Macaca mulatta: one gene and its partners. The protein of the gene in region 1 interacts with the protein of each later gene in a pairwise test. Links are inferred from orthologs where the notes say so. Each region holds a gene or a part of one and is shown in the gene's direction. Other genes may lie near its edges. The genes, in order: LDLRAD1, BNIP3, ADGRG7, MALL, VTI1B, PLN and BNIP3L.

Region 1 (3,842 bases):
ACCTTCACGTCCCCATGGTTTTGATGCTCCAGTGCCTTCAGCCAGGAACGCCTGCCCCGACCTGGTCCCAGTCAGGGACATACATGCCCCCACTAAGGAATGCCTTCACCCTGTGCATCTCCACTCCCAGAGAACCCGTATTCATCCCTCAAGGCAGAGTTCAAGTGTTACCTCCTCCAGGAAGCTTTCCCTGACTCCCACACGAGGTTAAATTGTCTCCTTGGGCTTCCACAGTCCCTGTGGTTCCCTGTGTCGCAGCCCTCGTCACACTGGTTGTCACTCGATTGGCACATCTGCTGCCCCCATCAGACTGTGAACTCCTCTGAGGCAGGCCCAGTCCGCTTGATATGGGGGCCCCAGCGCCTAGCACAGAGGGGTATTCAGAATGGCTTGCTGAATGAATGAGCAAATGAATGAATGGGAAGACCTGGCCCCGGACCTCAGACACCAGAATGTTCTCAGGAGAGAGAAGCCTGACCCCACAGGAGAGAGACAGCCTGGAGAGGTGCAGTGGGTGGGGTAGGGGAGCTCATGGAGGGCGAGTCATTGCATCAAAGACCCTCAAGACGAGAAGCAATTTCAAAAACATCTAGTCCTTGCCCCAGCTCATCCCCAGGCCCCTCTTTAGCAAGCCCAACCGAGGCCACCCGGCTTCCGTTTGCACCCCCTGAGATGCAAGGGTTGGAAGGTTTTTCCATGGGAAGGTTTTCCTTGTCCCAAACTTAGAGCTGCCTCCCAGAGTGGTTCTTCCCTGATTGGTTCCAACTCTGTCCTTCTGTCAACCCTGCCCCAATAGACCATGCTTTAATCCCTGCCATCATGGTGGCGCTGCATGGATTTGAAGATTACTTCCTTGCCCCCCATTGCGGGTTCTCTTGTCTAGGCCGCATCCCCTTCTCTAGGTCACAGTCAGCCCCCTTGTGACCGAGTTCCTGGCCCTCCCCATTCCATCAATGCTCCACAGAATAAATACCAACTGCCTATGTCCCCCTCCCTGGACAGGCCTCAGAAACATCCTCGGCGCTTCTGGCTGGGTCTGGGCAGTCTAAGGAACAGAAGCTTGCTCCCTCCCTGCCCGAGGTTTTCTACCTCTAGTGGTGCGGCCTGAGTTTGTGTGAATTTTTGGTAGCCCTATCACACTGCTGCCTAACAGAACACACTTCCCCTGAGCTCCGGGGCCCAACTGTAAGACTTCCACATTTATTCCTGTGCTGTTCCAGTTGGAGGAGGCTTCCTGGAGGTGATGGAACTTGAACCTGAACTTGAAAGTGGAATGGTTTTGCATAGGTATTAAGGAGGCTCTTTGTGGAGGGGCATAGGATCAGCAGTGGCGTGGGGCAGGAACACACCACGACTGGGGAGGAACTGAGGAAGGGAGGGGCAGCTCTCTGGGCCTCTGTCCAGCGACGGAGCTCTCCTCTCCCTCTGACTCCGCCGCCTCCCCAGGAAACCTTCTGCTTGCACCCTTATGGGCTGGATGGTCACTGATCCTGAGTTTGGCAACTGCCAGGGCGGCCAATCCTTCTCCAGATAACCCTCAGACAGCTGTGACCAGATGTGAACTTCTTCCTGCCTCCTCTGTCCCAGGAGATGTGCCCCAGAGCCTCCCCCGCTTCCTCGTGGCCCACTGTGGAGACCCGGCCTCCTGGATCTACTCAGACCAAAAATGTGATGGCACTAACAACTGTGGGGACTGCTCCGATGAACTGAGCCCAGGTAGGGGTCTGGGCACAGGCTGGGCTGAAGCCGGTGGCTGGGCAGCAGCCAGAGGGCAAAGGGTGACCAGGGAATCTCTAGGGCTCCCCTTTGCATGCCTTCTCTGCATCCTAGGAAGAAGTTTTCTACCCCTGCTTGAATACATCCTGTGGTGGGGTACTCACTACCACTCTAAGTGACTTCTGGAGGCTCATTCTTCTGCAGTGGGGAAGTCGCCTTCAAGGGCGCAGATGAGAAAACTGGGTCCCAGAAGGTGGTCATGCAAGGAGTACATACGTGACCCTGCTGGGATTTGAACCTGGGATTCCCTCATCTCTGCACCTCCCAATAACCCTGTGAGGAAAGCAGGGCAGGAATCACCAGCCCCAATTTGTTTGTAAGTAAACTGAGGCTTTGAGCAGAGAAAATTAGTACAGTGCATGACAGGAAGGGAGCTCAGGTGTGAACCCAGGCCTCCTGATCCAAGTCCCAAGGCCTATAGCTGCCCTAGAGTTTCCTCTCAATCTCTTCCCCAGTGGTCAATCAACAAACATTTTCTGAGCACTGGTGGGGTGCTCAGAACACACCTGGTATCAGATTCAGGTGGGGGACATCAGGAATCAAGCATGTGTCGTACCCCCAGGACTTACATCATGCTGATGCCAAAAGGAGATGCTGGGGACCTGGAGGAATCAAGGGAGACTTCTCAGAAGAGGTAGCATTCAGGAAGACCAAGAATAGACAGGTTTCAGTAGGCAGAGGCTGGGTGTGTGGGGAGGAATGCCAGAGGCCTGAGCAGAGGAGAGAAGGCTAGGAGCACTCTCGGGGAGTCATGGCAGGTAAATGTGGCTGGACTTAGGGTAAGGAAGGGCATCCATTCATATTGCAGCCTTTACCATGTGCCTGGGACTTTGCCTGACATCCTTTGCTTAATAACAAGCTTGAGCACACTAGGAAACAGGTTCAGACAGGGTGAGCAAGGTCACATAGCCTGTGAGCTGTGGAGTCTGTGAGCTGTGGAGTCTAGATTCTCTCTGCTGCAGGAAAACTAGGAACACACTCAACCCATATTAGATAGGTTGGGGCCGTGGGGAGCAGGTTTCAGAACTAGGGAGTGCCCTGCTGCACAGAGCATTCCAGGACACAGCAACTGCTCTCCTGCTGGCTCTTGTCTCCCCAGTGACTGTGTGCCCACCCTGTGGCCCTGGGTGGTGGCATTGTCCTTCAACCTTCTTCAAGTACTGCGACTGTATTCCGAGGCGTCTCTGCCGCGACCACATACAGCACTGCTCCGACTGGTCCGAAGAGTATGCCTGTCCCGGACCCTGAGTGGGCTACTCAGGCCAGCATGGAAGGCTGGCTAGAATGGCACTGATAACCCTGCACATGAAAATTGAATCCTAGCTCACAAGGGCAGGAAGGAGCCTTTGAAAGGGGATCTACACATCATTTCTGAAGAGGAATTTTCTCTCCTGCTTTCAAGTTGTTCAGTCTCTGCTTGAATGCCTCCAATGACCAGGAGCTCGTTACCATGTTAGGTGGCTTCTAACACAGAAGAGGTGATGAAACCCTGTCTCTACCAAAAATACAAAAATTAGCCAGGCATGGTGGCCCACACCTATAGTCCCAGCTACTAGGGAGGCTGAGGTGGGAGGACTGTGTGAACCCAGGAGGTCAAGGCTGCAGTGAGCTGTGACCATACCACTGCACTCTATCCAGCCTGAGTGACAGAGTGAGACCTTGTCTCAAAAAAATAAAACAAAACAAAAACATCAACAAAGAGAAAAGGAATCTACTTCCATGATTTCATGCCTGTCTCTGGGGTGTCTCATAGGAAATCTGCTAACTGCTCCAAGACAGACTTGTGGATCCTAATCTCATCACCCCTTGGAGTGATGATATGTCTGGGAACTAAATGACAAGCTGAGTTTAGCCTTCACGGATGGCACATATGTGAAACATATGCCACTTCCTACCCCTTTGGTACCTAAGGCAGAGATACTGGGCTTGGATGCAACCTTAGCATCTCCCCCAGTTCAGTTAACCCCGCAGGCTCTACTGGTTTAACCACGTGACACAGCACACGAAACAGGATATCTGGCATCCTACCGGTGGGAAGCCACCACAGGAAACTCCGAGCTGTAGAA
Region 2 (4,665 bases), on another chromosome or scaffold:
GAGATGGGGTCTTTGTGTGTTGCCCAGGCTGGTCTTGAACTATCAGGCTCAAGTGACCCTCCTGCCTTGGCCTCCCCAAATGCTGGGATTACAGACAAGAGCCACTGCCTGGCCAGTATTACAGTTCTACTATTGAAATTACTCATGTTATGCCATTTATCTCTGGCTGTTTTACTTTTTTTTTTTTTTTGAGACAGGATCTCACACTGTTGCCCAGAATGGAGTGCAGTGGCCTAATTATGGCTCACTGTAGCCTCTACCTCCTGGGCTCAAGCAATCCTCCCACAGCGGGTGCCACCATACCCAGCTAACTTTTTTGTATTTTTTTGGTAGAGAAAGTGTTTCGCCATGTTGCCCAGACTGGTCTCCAACTCCTGGGCTCAAGCGATCCTCCCGCCTCGGCCTCCCAAAGTGCTGAGATGAAAGGCTTGTGCCCCACCTTGGCCTCTGGATGTTTGTTACTTCTCAGAAAACCAAGATCATGGCACTCCAAAGACTAGAGACGATTCAACAGGCAAGAGCAGCGATGAAAAACACGCAGCGACTGAGGTCTGGCTCCGCGGCTGTGACCTCGGTTCAGCTTCTGAGCGCCTGGTTCCTTGGCGGGAAGCGTCCTCCTTCCCCACAAAACCAGGCACGGCTGTTTGGGAAGCAGCGTTTCTGGGGCGCACCTCGATACTTGGATTTGGATCAACAATGCTTTCAAAAAGGAAGACTTTTGATCAAAAGCGGGAAATGAGAAAACTTGACTTTCCTCTGAAGACTGTGCGCCTTTTCCCGGTCCCGAGGCCGCGAGGCCCCCCTGCCAGGCTGGCTCCCACGGAAGCCCGGCACCCACCCGGCCTGGCCCAGCGCCACTCCGCCGCGTGACCCGCGGAGGCCCCAGCCCACCCCCGGGGACCGCCCGCCCCACACCGCGTTCGCCCCCCGGAAGCCCCTCGCCGCAGAGGCGGACGGCGCCTCTCCCGGGCCCCTGGGTCTGCGTCTCCCTCCGGGGACTCTTCCGACCCTGCTCGAGCCTCCGCTTCTTCCTGCGGGCGGACGCCCCAAATACAACGGGCCCCGCTGTTCACGCAGGGGCGCCCCGGCGGGGCGGGCAGAGACCCGGGGGCGCGGCCCCGTCCCGAGACGCTCAACTCCGGCCACCGCTCGCAGCTCCCTCCCCGGCGCAGGTCCCGACCCCACGGGGGACCCCACGGGCCGTCCCGACCCTACGGGCCGCAGCGGCCGCTTCCCTGCACGTCCTCACGCCCCCCGCACGGACGCTGCCAGCCCCGCGCCTCAGTTTCCCCACTCGCAGGATGTAAAGACCGGCCCCGCCCCGACGCGCAGCGCCGTCCCCGTGATAGCGAGTGCCCAGGGCGCCCACCGGCCCCACCGCCCCTTTAAAAGGACTCGGCCCACCGCCTACCGCGGCGGCGACCTCGCAGCCCACTCGTCACGAGGCCGCGGCGCCCCGCCCGTTCCGGCTCACCTCAGGCGGTCGCTGAAGCCCCAGCGCCTGCGCGCCCCTCGTCCCGCCCCTGTCCCCGCCCGCGTCCCGCGCACCGCAAGCCCCTCGCCCACCCCCCAGGACCCGCCCCGCGCACGCGCCGCACGTGCCACACGCACTCCACGCCCGTGCGCACGCGCAGGCCCCGCGTCGCGGCCAATGGGCGACGCGGCCGCAGATCCGCCTGGCCCCGCCCCGCCCTGTGAGTTCCTCCCGCCGGGCGGCGGGGCTGGGCTCAGTCCAGGAGCGCAGCTGGCCGCGGCGCTCCGCTTTCCCAGCGCCCGCAGCTGAATCGCAGTCCGCAGCCCGCAGCCCGGCGCGGATTCCCATCGCCGCAGTCGCCCTCCGGCGCCATGTCGCAGAACGGAGCGCCCGGCATGCAGGAGGAGAGCCTGCAGGGTGAGGCCGGGGAGGCGGCGCGGGAGCCAGGGGGCGCGGGGGGAAGCCTGGAGGAAGGCCAGAGGGAGGCCGAGGGGGCGCCAAGGGAGGTTGCCCGGGAGGCCTGGGGGACATCGCGGGCCGTGCGAGGCTGCGCCACCCGCCCCTCCCGTGCCCACCCCTCCTGCGGGCGTGCGGAGCCCGGGGCATGGGGACCCCACGTACTGCCCGGGGTTCGCGGCCTCGCCGCTCGGGCGGGGGTTGGCTTGGACCCGGGTCGGACCGCACGGGAAAGCCCCGATTCTCCAGCTCCGCCAAGTTGGAATTCCACCTGGAGGTGAATCTGCGTCTCGCAGTTGGTCCGAGAAGCCTCAAAGTCCACGTTGCCCTCCGCGGTCTGTAGTTCAGACCCGTATTGGTTTTAACGACCAAACACCAAGGCGTGGCCAGTGGACTGTTATGTGCTTTAATTTTGTTATTAATGTTTATATCCGTGGTGATTTAGGATTTCCTGAAGGGTGAAGGCGGAGATGGGAGGGGGTTACAGTGTTTTTAAAATATGGCATTTAATGGGCATGTTCCAGTTCTACTAGAGGGTCGTTCCAAAACAAAGCTTTAAATTACTTACGGGTTAAGAAAACACAAGCACAAGGACGCTGCCAGTGCCGCACTCAGTCGTTACAGGCTGCTTAATGCCCGAGTAGAGGCTCGCCCTGTGCCCTTGGCTAGATTCGCAAGACCATGCGTTCGCGCAGCGGGAAACGCAGGCCCGGGGTGCAGGACTTGCCCCACGCACAGCCAGGTGGCGTGGAGACCCTCCCCACCCGGAGGGTCCGCGTCAGAGTCCAGACAGCATTTGCTCAGGGAAGCGGACATTGAAGCCGCCTTCCCAGGGTCCCTAGGGCCCAAGCCTGGGAGGAGGGACCTGGTGGCAGCTGACCTTTGTGTTCTCTGAAGCCAGAGTTTACTAAGCAAAATTAGCATGTAAATAAGCTTGGGAACGGGCTGCGGAAACCTCTGACTGTGAACTTTTAATCTTCATTGAGATTTTTTAAAACCATGTATCACATAAATTCAGTGAGTTGCTAATTTTATTACAAAAAAAAATTTTACTAGGCAGGACTTAGTTACTGTAATATATTAAATATATATATATTTGAACACTACAACCATTTTTTTTTTTTTTTTTTTTTTTTTTTTTTTTTTTTTTTTAAGAGACGGGGTCTGTGTTGCCCAGGCTGGTCTGAACTGGGCTCAAGCGATCCTCCCGCCTCGGCCTCCCAAAGTGCTGGAATTAATAGGTCTGAGCCACCGCGCCTGCCCTAGAACCATATTTTTAAAAATCCTGTAATTCGGATTTTTCCTCTTGAAATTTAAACATTGGTTATTACTATTTTGGAATATATTAAGGGGTGTTTTCCTGACTTTTGTTATAAAATCCAAGGGATGTTTTTATAAACTCTTTGCCATAAAATCACCCATTTTCCGGTTGTGTTACTCCTGACATTGTGCGTTTCACTGCCTGGCTGGGGATCTGGGCGCTGGGAGGTGGAGGGGGCCCCGGGGTGGCTCAGTCCTCTCTCCAGTATGTAACTTACACAGGCTGCTGAGTCATTGGCAGTGCAAGACGGCCAGCGCCGGAGTTGCGAGATTTTTGTTTTTCTGTTTTGTTTATTCTGTAAAAGGATAGTTACCCGCGGGGTGGATCCCATGTAGGCGATTCCTTGGGCCGCCCTGAGTGTCCGCGCGTCAGGACGGGGCCACCGTGGGCTCGGCGTGGGCGGGGTTGGCCTGTCCCGCGGGCTCCAGCCGCCTGCAAATCCGGCGCGGAGCGGTGGCTCGCCCAGGCAGCGCTCACCTCTGCCCCTCTGATTTCACTGCCCCTTGTTTACCTCGGAACAGAGAACTGTGGGAGCCTTGCAGCCAGACCCACAGATGGAAGCAGCGAGCACTCTCTCTGCCTGTACCCTCTGGGGCCAGCTGCTTTTCCTGAGGAGTTGACGGCAAAATGGGCTGATTCCGTTCCTTTCTATCTCTTGATCATTCTGGCTATTGTTGTTGACCCGCAGGATGCTCGTATTCGTCCTTTTTTTCCTCTTTATTTTTTACGAGCCCAGTCTTACTTTGTCGCCCAGGCTGGAGGGCAGTAGCACAATCATTATCAAGCTCACTGCAGCCGAGAACTTGGCTTTTTCTCCTAGGCATGTCACTGCTGACATGCAGGAGAGGTAGGATTCTGTGATGAGACCGGGTCACGGTTGCTTGGCGTCACTTCCTTGAAGGACCCACTGTCTTCACCAGGAGGGCATCAGTTCAGTAAACTGCTTGCCCATTTACTCTGGAGCTTCCGTATTTAATGATCCAAGCCCTCAGCTCTTCACCTACTGCTGTGTCTGCAACTGGCAGATGGTTCTCTTGTCAGAGGCAACTCACCATGGGTAAAGTTGTAATAGGGGAAAAGATGCTTCCACTTATTTTGGAGCGGAATTGTAGCATTGTGCGCTTTGAGACCTGAAGGGGTTGCAGACATCTAGATTCTTGTCCAAGACCTGCATTTCATAGATGGTCACAATGAGGTTCTAGAGGTGGAGTGAAAGATAAGGCTGGCAACTTAAGGAGAAGCCAAGGACTCTGCATTAAGCACCAGTGGGATACCTGGAGCCCAGATGCCTGAGGCTGCGTGCCATAGGCCAGGGTCCTGGAGGAGAGCCTGGCAAGGGGGGAAGGTTGAGGGAAGTGAGCCGTTAGAAGCCAGGGACCTGATTTACCTACCGGGCTGACCTGATGCTTGAAAT
Region 3 (4,577 bases), on another chromosome or scaffold:
TTTGGGGTACCCGTGCAACCATTCTGTTTTTCACTTTCACTGCAGTATTCAATATATCACAGGGGACATTCGACACTTTATTATAAAACAGACTTTGTGATAGATGATTTTGCCCAATTTTATGCTATTGTAAGTGTTTTGGGCACCTTTAAGGTAGGCTAGTCTAAGCTAGGATGTTCAGCAGGTTAGGTGTATATTTAATGCATTTTGACTCATGATATTTTTAACTTAAGGTGGATTTATTGGGATGTAATCTTATTTTAAGTCAAGGAGCACCCACGCTCCATAATAATTAAATTTGATATCTTTTATTTTAACAGTTATGACTTGCCTTATAGGTGGCTATATCTAGGTATCTCACCCCTGAGAAAATACGAGTTCTTTGAGGACCCTGTTCATTTCTTGTACCAATTCGAACACATTAAAGGGATTTAATATGGATTTGATGAAGCGAGGGAGTGTCCAGAGAAGACCAGAGCACCTGTTCTCTCTACCAGAACAAAACTGTGATTAAGGAGGTGAATGTTCGTTTATCTGTTCTTTCAGGTAAGGGTGGAGGATAGGGAAGGAGAACATGGGAGCCTGGGCAGGGGAGGGTCAGAGCTGCATCTATAGAGAGACACCAGTTTGTAATTACTCTGATGATATATTAGCTTCCCAGGGCTGCTCTAATAAAGTACCACAAACTGGATGGCTTAAACAACAGAAATTTATTGTCTTACAGTTTTGGTGGCTAGAAGTCTAAAGTCAAGGTGTCAGCAGAGCCAGTTCTTGCTGAGGACTCACTCTTTGGCTTGTAGATGGCCGTCTTCTCTCTCTGTCCTTCTGATCATCTTTCTCTATTCATGTCTGTGTTCAGATTTCCTCTTCTTATAAGAACACCAGCCATATTGATTAGTGACCACCCTAACAAACTCATTTTAACTTGATAGGCTCTGTAATAACCATATCTCCATATAAGGCCCCATTCTGAGGTACTGAAGGTTAGGACTCCAACATATGAATTTTGGAGGGGACACAATTCAGCCTGTAGCAGATGGGTTATCATGCTGGGCTTTAGTGCTTTTCAAGACCCACCCTGTGCCAGTATGCCCACTCACCAACTGCATCTGTCAAAATGTAGGCTCCTTAAAGAAATGAAAGCATTAAAATCACATGTGGTGATTGCCATTTATCCTCTTGTTGACAAACTAGTTCATTTCCCTGAGAGAGTGTTTTGTGTGGTCTGAAGCACCTGCCAGTCTATCCGTGCTGTACCCTCCCAAGACAAAAACACAGGAAGCCGAGCCGTAGGTGACCACTGGCATCCACTGCCTTCATGATTTCCTCTTTGGTTTCTTCGGTTTTGTTCCCTTGCTTCACTCTGTGACTTGTCTGGACATTCACTCTTTGACCCTTGTGGCTAGTCCCTCCCCTTCTTCTTTATTGCCTGGAGTTATCTCCCTATTCCCATAACTCTAATCACTTCTTTCACGTTCTCCTTCAGTGAAGGATGAGGAAATTGAAAGCAGAGTATGCACGTTTTATTAGGAGATTCAAACGGCATCCTACTGCATTAGCCTCAAAAGTCCTAAAATATAAAGACATCCATCTGACAGATCACTGAGGGGAGGACTTATTTTTCTGTTTTAGAAGTTTCTGATTAAACTCAAGAAGAAAAGAAGCTAGTTGTTTCTCACCCAGGAGTGGATTTGTGGTTTGGCTTCACCATGGCTTCTTGCCGTGCCTGGAACATTAGGGTGCTGGTGGCTGTCGTGTGTGGGCTACTGACTGGCATCATTTTGGGACTGGGCATCTGGAGAATTGTGATCAGGATCCAAAGAGGTAATGTCCTGCTATGTTTAACTCAGAGTAAGAGAAGGCATGGGACCTCTGTCCCTGCCACCTGAGGCACAAGTACTGGGAGGTGCCTTGTCCAGTCTGAGGCATCCCAGCAAGATGCCATTTATGGGATATAAAAGACCAAGTCAGTTAAGCCTAGCAGATGGTTGAACAGAAATGAATAGGTGTGGGTGTGAATGGGGAGGGGGAAGAGTGACATAATTGAATTGGCGTCTTTATGCTCTTTTAACTCCAGACTGAATTGGTAGAAGAGTAATAATTAAAACAATTAGTAACACATGTTTAGGTCTGTTGGGTTAAATTAAGGAAAGGGTAAATCGTTATGAACAAGGACACACACATGCAGCAAACACGTACACACACGTGCATAACACACACACAATCAAACATGCACAGAATAGAATTTCACTTTAAGAGAGAAGTTAAAGAAACTCATCACCAAGGTTTAAGTGAAATGATCTCATGGTTTGCACACAAATTTCCCACTTTCCAGATGTAGGAAATTAATCAACAATTTAAAAATCATTTTTAAATGACTTTCCTGATTATTCAACAAATATTTATTAGTTCCCCACTGTGTGCCAGAGCTGGCCTGGAAAAGGAGGACGTGGGAGGGGAAGTATTGAGTAAAACAATGATGTTAAAGCAAAGCCTGCTGTAACTCAGAACAGAAAATTTCAATGATCCTAATGCTGGATCCCTTGGGCTGTAGAGCTTCTCCATAAAGGAATTCAATATTGGATGGGCTGCATACTCCCTTTTGTAAAAATCAGAGAAAGCTTCTAATGAAACAATAAATAAGGGTAAGTGTCATGCACGTCCATGTGAAGAGACCACCAAACAGGCTTTGTGTGAGCAACATGGTTGTTTATTTCACCTGGGTGCAGGCAGGCTGAGTCCGAAAAGAGAGTCAGTCTTCAGCTGCTAAGCCGAGAAGATCTGGGAAGGAGTCAGTCAGAGAGTCTTGGCCCAGAGCTCCAGGGGCTCTGGGAGTGGCTGCCAGGTGAGTTGAACGGTCCGATTTCCAGTGGGGTCCCGCACAGATGGGACACGGCTTAGGAGGAATCCTGGGCTGCGGGCATTCCTTGGCCCAGTGGCCAGATTTCCGGCACTTGTAGCAAGCTCCTGGGGGAGGAGGTTCTGGAGGAACCCCTGGCAGCTGCGGTTCAGGTGTTTGGAGTTGTGTGCTGGAGATGTGGCTGGGGTTTGTCTCACAGTGGAGGCAAGGAATTGCAACTCAGAAATAAGTTGCTACTTGGCTGCCTCTACTATATTATTGTACACCTTGAAGGCGAGGTTCATTAAGTCCTGTTGTGGGGTTTGAGGGCTGGAATTTAATTTTTGGGGTTTTATTTAATGTCAGGAGCAGATTGGGTAATAAAATAAAATGCATATTGAAAATAAGATGGCCTTCTGACCTTTCAGGGTCTAAGGCTGAAAAGTGTCTCAGGGTTGCTGCTAAACGGGCCATGAACTGGGCCTCTAAGTTTTTCATATTTGATGAAAAAGAGCCTAAATGCTAACTGATTTGGGAGAGGTCGGATAAAGAAAAAGGAACATTAACCTTGACTATGCCTTTAGCTCTAGCCACTTTTAAGAGGAAATTGCTGGGCAGGTCGGGGAGGGCTAGTCGCGGAACGAAACTGTAAGCCAGACCCGTGTGAGGAGGGGAGGTGATAAAAGGACTATAGGGTGCGGGAGCAGAGACTGAGGAAAAATTGGGACCTAGCTTGGCCTGGCGAGGAGGGGAGAGGTCAGATGGGTCTGTAGAAAGGGATGATTTTTAGAAAGACTCACCGATGCTTGGGGTTGGGGCTGAGGGGACAGGTGGGAGGAAAAGAAGGAAGATTTGGGGCGAGTTGCATTGGGAACAGAGACTAGGGAGGGACCGATGTGTAAAAGAATGCCTGGACGTCAGGCACCTCAGACCGTTTGCCCATTTTACAACAATTATTTAGATCTTGCAGGATGGAAAAATCGAAAGTGCTGTTTTCTGGCTATTTGGAACTACTGTCGAGTTTGTATTGGGGTTAAGCAGCATTGTAGAAGAAAATAAGGCGTTTAGGTTTTAGATCAGGTGTGAGTTGAAGAGGTTTAAGTTCTTGAGAACATAGGTTATGGAGAACGAAGAATGGAGGGTGGAAGGTTGCCTGCGGTGAAGGAGGCAAGCCCAGAGAAAAGAGAGAGTGGAGACACAGAGAGAAGGAGTTCGGAGGTTCTTGCCCTCCAGAAAAGCAGGAAAGGGGTCGGGGAGCAGAAATAAGGTATTGGGGTGCCAAAATAAGAGATCAGGGTGCAAAAATAAGAGGGGGCACAAAAATAAGACGTCAGGGCGCAAAAATAAGAGGGGGCAAAATAAGAGATCGGGGTTCTTGCCCCTCCCCTAGAAAAGCAGAGAAGGGGTAGAGACAGGGAGAGAAGGGGTCGGGGTACTTGTTCCTCCCCCAGAAAAGCAGAGAAGGGGCAGACAGGGAGGATAGGGGTTGGGGTGCTTGCCTCTCCCGCAGAAAAGCAGGACTTGCCGCTTAGGGTGAAGGACCAAGGCAGACGTCCCTGCAGCGTGGTCAGACACCCCTGAAACGTGGGTGAGTAATCAGAGAGGCGTTCCTGCAATGATTAAACACCAAGGGAAGGCTGCCTTCCCCAGTCCCTGACCGGTGCCGGCGTTTTGGGTCCACGGATAAAACGTGTCTCCTTTGTCTCTACCAGAAAATGAAAGGAATTGAAATTAAGAG
Region 4 (4,030 bases), on another chromosome or scaffold:
CAAACTTTCTGAAAAATGAAGGAGCTCTTCATGTTCTAGAGAAGAACAGGTTTTAAAAACCTATTGTTAAGCTCCATCTTTCCTTAAGACATCCTTCCAAGTTTCAGTTCAGCCTTTTGGAAAATTTATATATGACTGTGTGTGTTTGCTTATAAGAAAAGGATCTGCCAAAGTTGTGCTTGAAATCTACTTGCTCTAAATGGCTCGCTGTAATCAAATATTTCTCCACGTTGAGGGCCAGCCCCAACCATTGAAAAAAAAATATCTCCTGCTCTGAGGAAATACAAAAATAAGCATTAAAATGGGAAAGCAGTTTAGGCCACCAGGAAATTTGGAAAGCCAAATGTGAGCTTTAAGAAGAAGTAAAAACAAACACTCAAAGTTTTCACAACTATAAGGAATCCAAGCTACACTACTTAAGACAGAAATGAGATCATGAACTCCACTGGGTTTAAATCCACCTGCAGCCCTTGGCTCTGGCCCCTCCTACTGTTCAGGAGGTAGAGGGGTGTGGAAATAAGAAAGTGAGTGACTTTCTTCTGCAGAACATTGATTCTGCAACACTGAAGCCATTGCAGGAAGGTTCCCGTGACATTTGAGTAGATTCCCAAATGCTCAGAGGCCCCTGGCCTGTTGTGAAAGGCAGGACAGGGATCCCTAAGCCGTAGCTGGAACCCAGAGAGAGGAGGCCGCTGATGGGCTCCCTGAGACTGCAGGTATGATATCCCCATCAAGGCCCTTAATGCCCCAGGCAGAACTTGGCTGAGGCTCTAGCAGGCCACCCTCTGGCACATTCTAGGAGCCTCCACCTGGCCCTGCCTTTGGCCTTGAAATCTGGTTTTTGGGGCAAGAACCACAAGTGTCCTACACCATGTCCTAGTCCCACCACGCACTGCCTGTGTGACCTCAGGCCCCAGTCCCCTCTGGTACAGTATTACCTCATGGACTGTGGCAAAGATTAAACATGAGAATGTAAGTAACATGCATGACTGTGTCTGGCCAAGGAAGCTTCTGATGGCAAGAGGGGGACCAGGACCCGTCTGCAGGCACTGACTGGCAAGATGCGGCTGAGGTTCCCTTGCTGTCCCCATGCCTGGCACAGACGAGCTGGCAGTAAGCAGTGGAAGGTATCAAATGGTAGTTCTCTGGTCTTTCCAAGGGAGTTAGAATTGCTGTGTGGACTAAATGAGGCAGTCTGAGTGAATGCATTTAAAAAACTGTAAAGTACCTGGTGAATCACTAATAACCAGCATTGTTCATGTGCCAGCATTTTAATGCACTTCTCATAGCTTCTTGGCAAGTGCCTTAAAACTGAGCCCTGGTACCTTTCTGAAGCATCAGCAGCCCTTATCACTGGGATTGACACGCAACAGCACAGTTGAGCGGGAGCCAGAGGACAGCGGCTCCCATCCCTCCCGCCCCCTCCCTAGGACAAGCAGGCCTTGACTCATTCTCCGGCAATCTCAGACCAGCCTAGGACTTCCAAAATTCACTTGGATTTTGATTGTTAAGGGGGAATTTGCTCCCAGAACTGGTGCTTTAAGAGGCAAATTCTAGCTTCAGTTCTAGCTTCTCATCTCCTTTTCCCCTTTTCTCCTTAAGAGCCCAAGAATGCTCCATAAATTCAAAGACAACAGCTGACAACAGCAAGGGGAAGCCTCAGAAAGTAAAGGGTGACATATCTATGTCTATGTATTGGCCAGTTGTAATATAAGAATTGCTGGTCCCAGAAAGCTAGGGATATAGTTTGGAAAGCAGAACTCAAGTTGTATATCTTTTGGCTGAGCTATAGACAAGGGCTTGAAGACAGGGCACAGTGGCTCATGCCTGTAATCTCAGCACTTTGGGAGGCCAAGGCAAGAGGATTGCTTGAGGCCAGGGGTTTATGACCAGCCTGGGCAACAAAGCAAGCCCCTGTCTCTACAAAAATTAAAATAAAAATTGGCCAGGTGTGGTAGTATGTACCTGTAGTCCTAGCTACTTAGGAGGCTGAGGTAGGAGGATCATTTGATCTCAGGAGTTGGAGGCTGCAGTGAGCCATGATTGCACCTCTGCACTCCAGCCTGAGTGACAGAGAGAGACTCCCTCAAGAAAAAAAAGTGAGTGAAGTTGTTTGGTCTAGAAAGTTTCTGATACATCTTTCAGAACTGAGCTACCTCCACAGACATGAGCTCCCAGTCAAAATTCACTAAACATGAGAGGAAACAAGTGAACAAGAATAGAAGTTAATGGAAGCCATAAACTGCAGAATCAAGCTGTTAAGGCCAAGTGAATGGAATTTTCAGATATTAAATGTAGAATGAACACTAAGCAGGAGTAATAAAAAGATATCCACCTCTCAACACATGGTATCACTGTTTCACAAACTGCAGAATGCTAAAGACAGAGTGAAGACTAAATACAGCCGAATAAGGAAGACAGATTCCTACAAAGCAAGAGTTCAACTGACAGCTGACCTTTCAGCAGCAACCGTGGAAGCCAAAACACAACAGAAGCATACGGGAAATATACAACATGGCGGAAATACATCTCGGAAGTGCGGAGAGAAAATAATTGTCAGGGGAAATTTAAGGACGTTTTCTAATAAATCAAACTGACTACTACCCACTGACCTTCACTAAAGAGATTACTAAAGGGTGCACTCCAGGAAGAAGGAAAATTATCTCAGGAGGAAAATCTTGGATGCAAGAATATCTTCATGACTCAAAATAGAGAAGAATTTCTTAAACTTGATAAAAACATAGTCAATAAAGGAAAAGACTGACATATTCAACTGCCTTAAAATTACGGGCTTAGTTAATCAAAGGAAACCATAAAGTATGTGAATGCTAGCAGAATATATTTGCAATGTTTATGACAGTCCATGAAATCCACACCATTAGCAAGAATTCCTATGAATCAATAAGAAAAAGAAAAATCTATTTTAAAATATTTAACTGATTAAAAAAATAAAAAACTTTACAGAGGAAGAAATATTAGTGGCTAACAAATACACAAAAATAAGCTCTATCTCATTAGTAATTCCACAGTGTCAGTGAGCAACAGGGAATGTCCCACAGCATGGTGTGAGGTTAATTGGGTGAGGGGATGTGGTCCACTGAGGACTCCAGGTCCTTTTAAAGAGACAGTCACAACTCATTTCAGCCTACTCTGGCCTGAGAAATGGGTACCCTGTGGCCAGAACCACAGATTTCTAAAGAAATGTCCCAAATCTGGATTTTCCATGTGAAATATCCTGTTTTAAACATTGGGAACTTATTCAGAATTGTTTAAAAGTGTGTATGCCAGTACTGCTTGAGCCAAAAGACACATTCACAGGCCAGACTTGGCTGAGTCCCTCTGTTTGTGACCTCTGCATTAACCCCTTGAATTTTCTAACAATCAGACCTGACTTTACCGTGACTCAGAGGGGCCAGGCTTCCTTCTCCATTTCCCTCTTGGTTCCCTCCTAATTTCACCTGAACTTGTAGCTAGACACAGAAAAGAGATGCCCTGCAAAGAGAAACATGCTCCATACTAGCTAATGAAGCCCCTTCTTTTATGCTTTTATCTTCCAGATATTTGGGTTCCTGGTCTGGACCCTGGTAGCCGCCACCCACGTAGTATTCCCATTGCTGCAAGGATGGGTGATGTATGTCTCAATCACCTCGTTTCTCATCTCCTTGATGTTCCTGTTGTCTTACTTGTTTGGATTTTACAAAATATTTGAATCCTGGAGAGTTCTGGTAAGAACCAGCAGCATGGCTCCTCCTGGGTGGACGTCCTGGGTTGGGTGAGGACAATTGGCCTTTCTGGGCAGGGAGGTATCTTGGGCTAGGCTTCTATGGAGCCAAGACATTTTATCTTAGTATGTTACTACCAGGCCAAAATGAAGACATTTCTCTGCAAGAGTAAATCATTCCTTGTATTCCCCTTCACTGCCTTCCCTGTTAGGAGAACACACAATGCCCTGTGATCAAGCATATTCTGATGTGTTTCCCTTAAATTTTCTTCCTGGTAAAATCCTTGGAGCAACGCTGAAGAAAATGCT
Region 5 (4,030 bases), on another chromosome or scaffold:
TTGCACCACCGCACTCCAGTCTGGGTGGCAGAGCAAGACCCTGCCTCAAAAAAAAAAAAAATTACTGTTCTTTCTTAAACTTACTGTCACAGAAAATATAGTTTAGAGGTAATTCTAACCATGTCCCTTTCTGCCTTAAAAGACAACATAGTAGCTGGACTTGGTACCTCAGGCAAGACATGCATGAGTCTCAGTTGGCACCCAAAGTTTGTCAGAAGTTGGTTCAGTTTACTGAACAGTTTAATAACTGCTTCTCTTCACCTGTGGCTTTTCTTTTTTTTTTCGCTCCAGCCCTATGGAAGCAAGAGTTCTTTGACTCCATCTCATTATACTCTAGCTTCAGCAAACCCATTAAGATTGGGGCCAAAATTCTGGTCCCTGCTAGTACTCTGCAGAAATAATTGCCCCTGTATTTGCTACCCCAGAGCAGATAAAGAAAAAAATTCTCTTTTGGCCAACGAACTTCCTTCTTGCTTGTTCAGTTTGCCAGTTATCACAGTGAAGTTCTGAGAAGGAAGCACATCTGCATCCTTTTCTCTGTTTTGCATCTGTTTTAAGAAAGACCAGGCCACCAGACTGTGGAAACTATCTTCTTCCTAATGGGGGTACTAGGAGCTTTTCTTAATACCTATGTGCAGCTGGGCATATCCATGATACCTGTTTGTAGCCATTCTCCTGTTTCAGTTAATACCTTGGTAGCATTTTTAAAATCTTCTAGCTACTACTGATTTGTTTGATGCTCAGATACTTGTTTTCTCCAAACTCAACAAAAGTAATAATCCTAGTCTGACCATTCCAGGCAGATGAAAATAATTTAGGGCCTCTTGTGAACATGTCCAGGTGTTATATTTTACTTATCCCAGAAAAATAGAAGTCTGATTCCCCTAAAGCACCCTGCTCTAGAGTAGGCCCCTGGTTGTCTCTAGACAAACTTAATTGATTTTCAGAAAGAGGAGCAGGAGAAGGGAAGAACCCTGATGCCAGACCCCTATCACTTTTAGTACGGTAGACTTCAAAGCACTTTTTGATGGCAGTGTTCAATCATACCAGGCTAAAAACTTGGTATATTGAAGAGAGCTGAGAGAATTTGAAGATTTTGAACCCTGACTCCTTTTCTGTTTAATTTTTTTTTTTTTTTAAATAGAGATGCGGTCTTGCTATGTTGCCCAGACTGTGCTCAAATGATCCTCCTGCCTCGGCTTCCCAAAGTGCTGGGATTACAGGTGTGAGCCACTGTGCCTGGCCCGGACTCCTTCTTTTTGTGTAATCTTGAGCAGGTTTCTTTAAGTTTTTTATATGAAATGGAGCATTTCCTACCTTATTGACTTGTTGTGAGGATTAAATGGAGAATGTATATAAAAATGTTTAGTAAGCTATAAAGTACTTCCTGTTTTTCCATTCATTCATTCAGTTCATATATTTTGAAGGCCTGCTCTGTGCTTGCTAGACAGTACGCCAGGCATTCAGAATGAGAGGAACATGCCAGACATGGTCCCTGCCTCATGGAGCATATGGTTATTTGCTTGGTGTAGTCCAAATAAATAAGTAGTTTGATTAGTCCAAACTAGGCATATTTCCAAATGAGTGCGGGAAGAACCAGGCTATCCACTCACTACTTTCTGCCTTCCCAGCTGGCAGAGATGGAGGAGGAACTACGTTACGCACCCCTGTCTTTCCGTAACCCCATGATGTCTAAACTTCGAAACTACCGGAAGGACCTTGCTAAACTCCATCGGGAGGTGAGAAGCACACCTTTGACAGCCACACCTGGAGGCCGAGGAGACATGAAATATGGCATATATGCTCTAGAGAATGAGCATATGGTAAGTTTTAGCTGTTGTTGTTGTTTTTTTTTTCCTTAAGGGCCTATATTGTTGGGGTATTTCATGTTATCAATGTACACTAGACTCTTGTTTCATTTTTTTCACCCTTATCCTCTTTTTTGCATCCAGGTCCTGTTATCCCCTTGGTATCTGCTCTATTTAATGCAGGCCTTTTGAACCATATGCATATTTAGATTTATTTTTATCCTTAATATAATACAGTCTTACAATAAAAAAAAAACAGTGCTTTGTATGTAGTAGTATATAAGTGTTACCTATTCTTATTATCTGGATTCTGTATTCTGACCCATTGATCTAATTTCTTTTCTCCTTGATCTTTTTTATTCTTTCATATAAATTTTAGAATCACTTTCTCAAGTATGCCTGGAAAATTCAGTTAGGTTTCTAATTTATCAGAATATTGTTACACAATCAATCCAAGCTTTCCTTTACCTTAATGTCAAGATGGCCCAACAACTGAGATACAGTAACCAATGCAGGACGCTTCTCCAGAAGGAACTTTCTTTTTTTTTTTTTTTTTTTTTTTTTTTTTTTTTTTTTTTTGAGATGGAGTCTGGCTCTGTCGCCCGGGCTGGAGTGCAGTGGCCGGATCTCAGCTCACTGCAAGCTCCGCCCCCCCGGGTTCCCGCCATTCTCCTGACTCAGCCTCCCGAGTAGCTGGGACTACAGGCGCTGCCACCACGCCCGGCTAGTTTTTTGTATTTTTTTTTAGTAGAGACGGGGTTTCACCGTGTTCGCCAGGATGGTCTCGATCTCCTAACCTCGTGATCCGCCCGTCTCGGCCTCCCAAAGTGCTGGGATTACAGGCTTGAGCCACCGCGCCCGGCCGCCGAGAAGGAACTTTCTATCTTTTTATTCTGTGGTAATGGAAAGTAAGCCAGACTGCCTGTCTGGCTTTCAGGATTCTGATTTATAAAATTGGACTAATTGAACATCTGTATTCTGAAACCATCTAGAGCAGCTGGATTGTTAAAGGAATAAAACGTCTGAAAGATTAAATGTGCTGCATTTGGTCTGTCTTCCACAAACACAACACAAAGTAGAAATTCTCTGGCAAGTAGCATGGCAGAGAAATAGAAAGGGGCCTACCAGTTCAGACTGAACAGAGGTAGAAAGGCTCATACTCCAATTTTAAACAAATCCTGTTTCACGATGCATCCTGATTATAGTTTAAGAGACATTCAGAATGATATTGGCTTGACATGGCTGATGCCAAAACTAGACCGCTTGAGAATGAAGTATTTAAAATTTTCAAATGGATGCCCGAGGGATCACTACAGACTAGAAGCTGACAGAAGATCACTTAAAGGGAGACTGGAAAAAGGCAGGCAGGTGGAGCTGGTGAAAGTGGGAGTTGTAAAAGTGACTTTAGTCATGTTGCCAAAGTTGGGGAGGAAGTCCAAACAATTTTGCCTTAAAATTATGAGTTTCAGAAATTATTAAAACATAATTTAGGTATCCATGCCTTCAGTAAAATTATTGTTCCAAATCTGTCTGAAGTTCATTTATGTGATCTGATCTTTTCTTGGTCATTTTTTAGCCTACTCAGTTGAAAATCTGCATCTTTCATTTTGAAAACCTTTTTCCTTCTTCCTTTGTGCTAACCTAACTGATTTTATTTGAACCTCATTCAGTGGTTTCCTCATCTGCTGGTCTGTATGCCATTTATTAAGTCAAAATGCTACAGAGCGCGGGGCATGGTGGCTTATGCCTGTAATCCTAGCACTTTGGGAGGCCAAGGCCGGTGGATCACCTGAGATCAGGAGTTCAAGACCAGCCTGGCCAACATGGTGAAACCCTGTCTCTACTAAAAATACAAAAATTAGCTGGGCGTGTTGGCAGCTGCCTGTAATCCCAGCTACTCGGGAGGCTGAGGCAGGAGAATTGCTTGTACCGAGGAGGCAGAGGCTGCAGTGAGCTGAGATCGTGCCACTGTACTCTAGCCCGGGCGACAGAGCGAGACTCCGTCTCAAAAAAAAAAAAAAAAAAAAAGGGAAAAAAGAAAATGCTTCTTGCTACTTCTGCTCTGGGAGCCAATCTTTTGGCTTCTTGGTCCTGCCAGTGGTCACCTGCTCTGTAATAGGCCTCTGTGAGCTGGGTTCCTTTTGAGTCTGTGTATGCGCGTGCGTGTGTGTGTGTGCACGCGCGCTTTGAACAGCTAAGAACTTGGAGCTGCCTCCATTTCT
Region 6 (3,165 bases), on another chromosome or scaffold:
ACAGTGTAACAGATTTAAAGAAACTATATGTGAGAACTTTTACCCAAAAGAATAACCCAAAACGAGCTGTACCTTAAACCAAATACAGCAGGTCCTCAAATAACATCATTTCCTTCTATGTCATTTTGTTATAACATTTAAGTATGTGTGCAGCTTGAATGTTCTCTCCATATCTGTGAGACTCTCGTTTCCTCCCATATCCCAAAACTGTGCACATTAGGTTCACTGGCGTGTTTAAGTTGTCCTGGGTTGAGTGTGAGTGTGTAGATGAGTGTATCCTGTGATGGAGTGGTCTCCTATCCAAGGTGGGTTCCTCCCTCCTTGACTGCTGGGATTGGCTCCAGCCACCAGCACCCCAAACCAGAATAAGAGGGTTGAAAAATGAATGAACGGATGAATACAAATTATTATCAAATAAAAACTGGTAAAGTCTAGGGTGATCATACAAATGCATGACAATAAATGCTATGGCACAAAAGCACTCAGAGATCCCATTGTATTTCTCAAACATTGATTCCATGTTTTTAATTGACCAACACAACCACTGTTACTCACTGATTCACGAAATACTGGGTAATTATCTTTGTTGGCTTTTTTTTTGAGACAGAGTTTTGCTGTGTCACCCAGGCTGGAGTACAGTGGCATGATCTGGGCTCACTGCAACCCCTGCCTCCTGGGCTCCAGCGATCCTCCCAAGTAGCTAGGATTACAGGCACATGCCACCAGCCTAGCTAATTTTTATATTTTTAGTAGAGACAGGGTTTCACCATGTTGGCCAGGCTGGTCTCAAACTCCTGGCCTCAGGGGATCTGCCCGCCTTGGCCTCCCAAAGTGCTGGGATTACAGGCGTGAGCCACTGCACCCGGCCTATCTGGTTTTTATTAATCTTTCTTAAATGTACATATAATTCATATTTCTCTCAACGTTTAATATTAGAAGTGTTTGGGTCTTTATTGAGAAGTTTGGTGATGTTCTTGTGACCAGAAATGTGCTATAGGAACTTACCTCTTATTTACATCAATCAGCCTAGGGTAAAAATGGTTTTGTTATATGTTGTTTTGCATAAAGTCTTGGTTTCCAGGAACTTATGGATGACACTGAGGATTACTGCAATACTTGTAGTAAATTTGGGAGAAAAAGGCAAAGACTGAAGTTACTACTCCTAACACAAATGAGACTGTCATGTTGTGCCCCATCAAAAAAGGAGAAAGAGAGACACATGGAAACACATGCGCACACACACACACACACACACACATACACACACACACACACACACACAGAGAGAGACAGAGAGAGAGAGACTATAGAAACACTTGATGTTATAAATAACAATAGTGCTGAGGAAGATGAATTAATACAACATTGTATTTTTTGTCCTGATAATAGGTTACATATATTATTCTAATCTATTTATTATTTTTACATTCCAGGCTACCTAAAAGAAGACAGTTATCTCATATTTGGCTACCAGCTTTTTATCTTTCTCTCAATCACTTAAAACTTCAGACTTCCTCTCCTGCTGGTATCATGGAGAAAGTCCAATACCTCACTCGCTCAGCTATAAGAAGAGCCTCAACCATTGAAATGCCTCAACAAGCACGTCAAAATCTACAGAATCTATTTATCAATTTCTGTCTCATCTTAATATGTCTCTTGCTGATCTGTATCATCGTGATGCTTCTCTGAAGTTCTGCTACAACCTCTAGATCTGCAACTTGCCACATCAGCTTAAAATCTGTCATCCCATGCAGACGGGAAAACAATACTGTAAAACAGACCACTTCCTGAGTAGAAGAGTTTCTTTGTGAAAAGGTCAAGATTAAGACTAAAACTTATTGTTAGCAAATGTATTCATCTGCTGGATCTTGTAAACATGAAAAGGGCTTTATTTTCAAAAATTAACTTTAAAATAAGTGTATAAAATGTAACTGTTGATTTCCTCAACATGGCTCACAAATTTGTATCCCAAATCTTTTCTGAAGATGAAATAAGAGTTTAGTTTTGAAACTGCACTGCCAACAAGTTCACTTCATATATAAAGCATTATCTTTACTCTTTTGAGGTGAATATAACTTATATTACACTGTAAAAGCTTCTTTAATACTGTTTTTCAAGTCTTCACCAAGTATCAAAGTAATAACACAAATGAAGTGTCATTATTCAAAACAGTCCACTGACTCCTCACATCTGTTATCTTATTATAAAGAACTCTGTAGTAACTCTTTGTAGTAACATTCTAAAACAGAAATTGCATTTTTGCTATGCCACATTAACATTTTTTAAAGTTGATGAGAATCAAGTATGGAAAAGTAAGGCCATACTCTTACATAATAAAATTACTCTTAAGTAATTTTTTCAAAGAATCACAGAATTCTAGTACCTGTAGGTAAACCATAAATCTGTTCTAAGACATATGATCAACAGATGAGAACTGGGGGTTAATATGTAACAGTGAGATTAGTCATATCACTAATATACTAACAGAATAGAATCTAATCTTCATTTAAGACACTGTAGTGAATTATCTGACCTAGAGTTACCTAGTTTACCACGCTGTATCTTTTGAATCATGAAACCTTAAGACTTCAGACTGATTTTACAGGTTGTCTTCCATTCCAACCTAACATCCAATGCAGGCAAGGAAAATAATACAAGATTTCCAGTGACAAAAAAAAATATTATCTCAAGTATTTAAAAAAATAAAAATATGAATTCTCTCTCCAAATATTAACTAATTCTTAGATTATATTTTGAAATGAACTTGTTGGCCCATCTATTACATCTACAGCTGACCCTTGAATATGGGGGTTAGGGGAGCTGACAATCCATGGGTCTGCAAAATCTTAACTACCTAATAGCCTACTGTTGACCATAAACCTTACTGATAACATAAACAGTAAATTAACACATATTTTGCATGTTATATGTATTATACACTGTATTCCTACAATAAAGTAAGCTAGAGAAAAGAAAATGTTATTTAGAACATTGTAAAAAAGAGAAAATATATTTACTATTCATTAAATGGAAGTGGGTTAACATAAAAGTCGTCATTCTCATTGTCTTCACATTGAGAGGAGGAAGAGAAGGAGAAAGACGGGGAGGAAGAGCAGGGGTTGGTCTTGCAATCTTGTCTTAGGGGTGTGGAGAGTGGGGAAAAAG
Region 7 (4,503 bases), on another chromosome or scaffold:
CATTTTTAAGTTCATCTGAAGAGTAACTAGTCATTAACATCTGAAAAAGACAAACGAAGAGAAACTTTAATAGTTACCTAACAGAGGTATTGTAGATAGCCCTGAAACAGACTCACAATTTTGTGGGCATTCAGAGAGTGACAAAGGTACAATTTCAAATCAGGGTAGAAAGGATGGCTTAAAATTAATATTATTGGGTCAATGGGCTACAAAATTGAGAATTGAATTTAAATCATTTACAGCATATGGAAAATAAATTTCGGATGGATTAGAGCTCTGAATGTAAATTTAAGCCTATAAGAAAATTAGAAAAAGTTATAAGGGAATTATAGATTAATTATTTTGGTGCGAAAGTCTCCCCAAGTCATGTAAGAATGATAAATCTGATTACATGAAAACCTTACGCTTCTACACAGTGAAAAAAAAATTAAAAGACAAGTCAGAGACTGAGAGAAACATATGTGACTCATAAATCAGACCAAGGAGACAGGGCGAAGACATGGAGACGTGAAGTAGGAGGTGTGCTCAGGAAAATAGTTAAATGTCATCCACGTACAGGATAAACGGCTTCCCACGTCATGTCCCAGAAATCGATTAGTCGATGGGATTTGGGTGATTGCTTTCTTCTGTTTTTCCTGAATTTTTCTCTTTTTTATTTCTTTCCCTTTCTTCTTTCTCTCTTTCTTTTTTACAATGATGGTGTGTTTGTAATCGACATTTTAAAAATTCTATAACAATTAAATTTGGGGGCGGCCTTCCCTTGTTTCCCGTATGGAGTGTTGATGTTTCAGCAGCTTTATTTGGAGTTTACAAGTGGAAGCACCTGGGTTTGGGGCTTCCTTTGTGTCCCCAAGACACCTATTGCAGGAGTGAGTCCTAAGCAGTAGAAAACAGATGCATGTGCAGGGCTGGATGAAGCACTATGGAGCCTGTGTGAGAGGAGGCACGGGCGCTAACACAGGAGCGCACTTCCTCATTCCGCTTCTTCTCATCCTCTCTCGCAGTGCCATTGTCATCACTCATCCCATCCGGTCATCCCAAGTCACACGCAAGAGTTCGTTCCCGGCGCGCGCGTCAGCTTGACTCGCGCGTCTCCACGTCCGGGACCCGCAGGGGAACGCCGCCGCCCCGTCCGGTCGCTTGTTGTGTTGTCATCACGTGGCCTGGGCGGACCCTGACGTCAGTGGCAGGGGAGGGACAGCGCAGGCGCAGAAAAGGGGGCGGGGGACTCGGCTTGTTGTGTTGCTGCCTGAGAGCCTGAGACGGTCCTGCTGCTGCCGGAGCCCTGCCAGCTGTCCGACGATGTCGTCCCACCTAGTCGAGCCGCCGCCGCCCCTGCACAACAACAACAACAACTGCGAGGAAAGTGGCCAGTCTCTGCCGCAGCCGGCCGGCCTCAATAGTGAGTGAGGGGCCGAGGGCTTGGTGAAGGGGATGGGGGAGGAGGAGCCGCCCCGGCCGCCGCCACCGGCGCGGCGCGGGAGGCGGGAGGAGAAGGCAGCTCATTGGCCCAGGCCGGTGATGTCCGGGTGACTGACAGCTCCCGTCACCTGTCAGGAGGATGGGCGCCTGCCTTGCTCCGGGCCTCTCTGTTGCCTCCTGGGGTCATGGGCCGGGGCCGTTTGGGTTCGCGGTCCGGGAGCGGCGCGGGTAGCGCGGATCCCACTGGTGCTGGGGGTGGTCCCCAGCAGCGGAGCCGGGCGGGGCGGGGGCGGGCCTGGGGGGCGGGGAGGCCAGGTGGGCGGAGCGGGCCGCGGAGGGGACGTGGGCCGGAATGGGGACGTGCGGCGGGGACGCCGGGGGATGGACGCGCGGGAGCGGGGCGGGGCGGGCGGATGCCGCGGGACGTGTCTGGGATCAGGTGTGCGGGGCCCGCGGGCGGGCAGCGTCTGGCGGGCTCGGGAGCCCCCAGCGAGCATTCCTTTGTTGCCACATGTTTGTCAGGAAAATTCATTTGCTGGTCTAGGGGCTTCAGTCACGTGTGGGGTGAGAGGCTGTGCCTTGCTTCTCCTTTTTCCTTTTTTAATTTTTTTTTATTAGCTTTCTCGAAGTTGCCCAAGTGATTTTTTTTAAGCGATGAGGTTGTGCGCCCAGTAAACCTGAGAGCAGCCTCCTGAACCACCCGGGACTGCACACGTCAGGGAGTCTGGGGCCATGCATTTAAAGAAACGGAATTAAAAACGCACTCGGGCAATTGAAAGTTAACGGGCAAGGCTGATGGACAACCCAGGCCAGGGTCTTTTCATAACATTCCACTGCCCAGACATCTTGTCCTCAGATTGTTCCTGGTCGTGAGAACCGGGAGCCTTCTTGGAAGGGTTCTTGCCTAACCTTTCTTTAATTCAACTCTTGGGAAAGAGATAATGGGGGTAGCGAGCATATGGCCAGATGAAGGCTTTTCAAAACCGCTTGGATGCTTAAAGGTCATGCAGTATCTTTCGTAAGAGGGAGATGCTTCCAGCGTGGCCTGAAGATTATTCTAGGGAAGAGAGTTTCAGCCGTCACCAGGTAGCAACGGAGTTTGGAGATTTTAAGACGGATGCTGCTGCTCCAGGTTTTTTGATGGGTTAATACCCAAAACCTTTAAGTGTCCTACATTCCAGAATGTAAGACGGTTATGTTATTTCCCACAGTAAATTAGGATGAATGTCTGAGTCATTAAACGTTACTCGTATCACATATTCCTATGCAATTTTAAGTTATTTGCCCATGTTTAGCATACTGTCTTAGGTTTGAGAATGGGAAAAACTTCAGAGCTAGCTAACTGCCTCCTGTTGTTTACCTGTAGAGAAACAGGTCTAGAGTTAAGAGCCTGGTCCAAGTTCACAACTGGCTGGGAGCAAAGCGGAGGTTGTCATGTTCAGCCTGTCTACTGCTGTTTTCAGGGAGGGCTTTTTTTTTTTTTTTTTTTTTTTGAGATGGAGTCTCGCTCTGTCTACAACCTCCACCTCCCAGGTTCAAGCGATTCTTCTGCCTCGGCCTCCTGAGTAGCTGGGACTACAGATGCTTGCCACCCGCCCAGCTAATTTTTATATTTTTAGTGGAGACGAAGTTTCGCCATGTAGTTGGGATTACAGGCGCCCGACACCAACCCAGACTAATTTTTGTATTTTCAGTAGTGAGGGGGTTGGTCTCTCACCATGTTGGCCAGGCTGGTCTCAAACTGCTGACCTCACGTGATTAGCCCGCCTGGGCCTCCCAAAGTGCTGGGATTACAGGCTTGAGCCATCACACCCGGCCTCTTTTCAGGACTTCTTTTCAGTGGTCCAGAACCTCCTGCTGGTCTGTGTGTCTTATTTTGTCAGTGTGTTATTCTACCTAATTCACAAAGGTGGCCCACCTTTCTGTTTCTTTTTAGTATTCTGTTTCTTAATTGTGCAATTTTCTTATGAGTGAAGATACTTGGTAGGTGTACATGATTTCACTGAAATCTAAGGGATTTTCATCTTCCTTTGACCCTTTAACAACAACAACAATAAGGGCTGAGCCAGGCAGGGCGTGGTGGCTCATACCTGTCATCCCAGCACTTTGGGAGGCCGAAGCGGGTGGATCACTTGAGGTCAGGAATTCGAGACCAGCCTGGCCAACATGGTGAGAGACCAACCCCCTCTCTACTGAAAATACAAAAATTAGCTGGCCTGTCGGGCGCCTGTAATCCCAGCTACTCAGGAGGCTGAGGCAGGAGAATCGCTTGAATCCGGGAGGCAGAGGTTGCAGTGAGCTGAAATCGGGCCACTGCACTCCAGCCTGGGTGACAGAACGAGACTCTGTCTCAAAAAAAAAAAAAAAAAAAAAAAGGGCTGAGCCATATGTCATTGTTTATCTTGGAGTCTGACAGACCTATGAGGAGTTTGATGTCTTTGGCCAGTCGGTTCCTGCTTGGTTGACATCAACTCTTACAGAGGTGGAAGTACTCAGCCTGCATGGGATATCAAAATGTTGCTTTGGGAAATCTAGATAGAAAATATTTTACGTGGGATAGGGTGAGCTTTCTGAAAAGCTTTTAGATAATGCCATATTTAATTACTCCCCTCTTTCCTCTTAACTCTGTTCGTTTTTTTAGCTCATTACACAACACTGCACTGAACAAAACAAGAAGCCTCATTGATTCCTTGAAGTGATTTTTGGGCATTGGGCAAAACAACTTATTCAGGCGCCTAGTACTATCCAAATTGCGATAAGTTGAAGGACTTTGTTGGGTAAAGTTGCACAACTGAAAAACAGGAGATGAAATGTACAGATTTTCTTGGGTTTGGGACTTTTTATCTTTGGTTCAGGGAACAAAGCAGAGTTTCAATGGCAAATTATTGAAATATTTGAATAATGAAGTATTTCTGTGATTTTTTTTAACTTTACCGCTGTGGAGAGACTGTTCACTTTCATTAAAAATTACAGGGCAAATACCCAAACTCCTTCCAAGTCAAAAGGATGTTGTCCAGTTTGTTTTATTGTTAAGAAAACTATCAACTTCCTTAAGAATATTTGAATAAGAGTCAATTGGTC

What was found.
Region 2: the proteins of LDLRAD1 (region 1) and BNIP3 interact in binary tests that used the Homo sapiens proteins (3 or more experiments, as listed by UniProt). The two-hybrid records come from large-scale screens. The link is inferred for Macaca mulatta from reciprocal best matches to the Homo sapiens genes LDLRAD1 and BNIP3.
Region 3: the proteins of LDLRAD1 (region 1) and ADGRG7 interact in binary tests that used the Homo sapiens proteins (3 or more experiments, as listed by UniProt). The two-hybrid records come from large-scale screens. The link is inferred for Macaca mulatta from reciprocal best matches to the Homo sapiens genes LDLRAD1 and ADGRG7.
Region 4: the proteins of LDLRAD1 (region 1) and MALL interact in binary tests that used the Homo sapiens proteins (3 or more experiments, as listed by UniProt). The two-hybrid records come from large-scale screens. The link is inferred for Macaca mulatta from reciprocal best matches to the Homo sapiens genes LDLRAD1 and MALL.
Region 5: the proteins of LDLRAD1 (region 1) and VTI1B interact in binary tests that used the Homo sapiens proteins (3 or more experiments, as listed by UniProt). The two-hybrid records come from large-scale screens. The link is inferred for Macaca mulatta from reciprocal best matches to the Homo sapiens genes LDLRAD1 and VTI1B.
Region 6: the proteins of LDLRAD1 (region 1) and PLN interact in binary tests that used the Homo sapiens proteins (3 or more experiments, as listed by UniProt). The link is inferred for Macaca mulatta from reciprocal best matches to the Homo sapiens genes LDLRAD1 and PLN.
Region 7: the proteins of LDLRAD1 (region 1) and BNIP3L interact in binary tests that used the Homo sapiens proteins (3 or more experiments, as listed by UniProt). The two-hybrid records come from large-scale screens. The link is inferred for Macaca mulatta from reciprocal best matches to the Homo sapiens genes LDLRAD1 and BNIP3L.

The regions. Positions count from the first base shown.
Region 1 is NC_133406.1:186,602,435-186,606,276, forward strand, and holds the end of LDLRAD1 (low-density lipoprotein receptor class A domain-containing protein 1), read left to right. Parts: intron 1-1,587; coding exon 1,588-1,716; intron 1,717-2,875; coding exon 2,876-3,024; 3' UTR 3,025-3,073; downstream 3,074-3,842.
Region 2 is NC_133414.1:144,070,876-144,075,540, reverse strand, and holds the start of BNIP3 (BCL2/adenovirus E1B 19 kDa protein-interacting protein 3), read left to right. Parts: upstream 1-1,729; 5' UTR 1,730-1,845; coding exon 1,846-1,891; intron 1,892-4,665. UniProt on the Homo sapiens protein: Apoptosis-inducing protein that can overcome BCL2 suppression. May play a role in repartitioning calcium between the two major intracellular calcium stores in association with BCL2.
Region 3 is NC_133407.1:182,983,066-182,987,642, reverse strand, and holds the start of ADGRG7 (adhesion G-protein coupled receptor G7), read left to right. Parts: upstream 1-1,463; 5' UTR 1,464-1,709; coding exon 1,710-1,824; intron 1,825-4,349; exon of another isoform or gene 4,350-4,427; intron 4,428-4,577. UniProt on the Homo sapiens protein: Orphan receptor.
Region 4 is NC_133418.1:20,555,364-20,559,393, reverse strand, and holds part of MALL (MAL-like protein), read left to right. Parts: intron 1-3,557; coding exon 3,558-3,725; intron 3,726-4,030.
Region 5 is NC_133412.1:140,834,343-140,838,372, reverse strand, and holds part of VTI1B (vesicle transport through interaction with t-SNAREs homolog 1B), read left to right. Parts: intron 1-1,631; coding exon 1,632-1,823; intron 1,824-4,030. UniProt on the Homo sapiens protein: V-SNARE that mediates vesicle transport pathways through interactions with t-SNAREs on the target membrane. These interactions are proposed to mediate aspects of the specificity of vesicle trafficking and to promote fusion of the lipid bilayers.
Region 6 is NC_133409.1:23,532,786-23,535,950, forward strand, and holds PLN (phospholamban), read left to right. Parts: upstream 1-1,449; 5' UTR 1,450-1,530; coding exon 1,531-1,689; 3' UTR 1,690-2,295; downstream 2,296-3,165. UniProt on the Homo sapiens protein: Reversibly inhibits the activity of ATP2A2/SERCA2 in cardiac sarcoplasmic reticulum by decreasing the apparent affinity of the ATPase for Ca(2+).
Region 7 is NC_133413.1:28,123,771-28,128,273, forward strand, and holds the start of BNIP3L (BCL2/adenovirus E1B 19 kDa protein-interacting protein 3-like), read left to right. Parts: upstream 1-1,245; 5' UTR 1,246-1,302; coding exon 1,303-1,402; intron 1,403-4,503.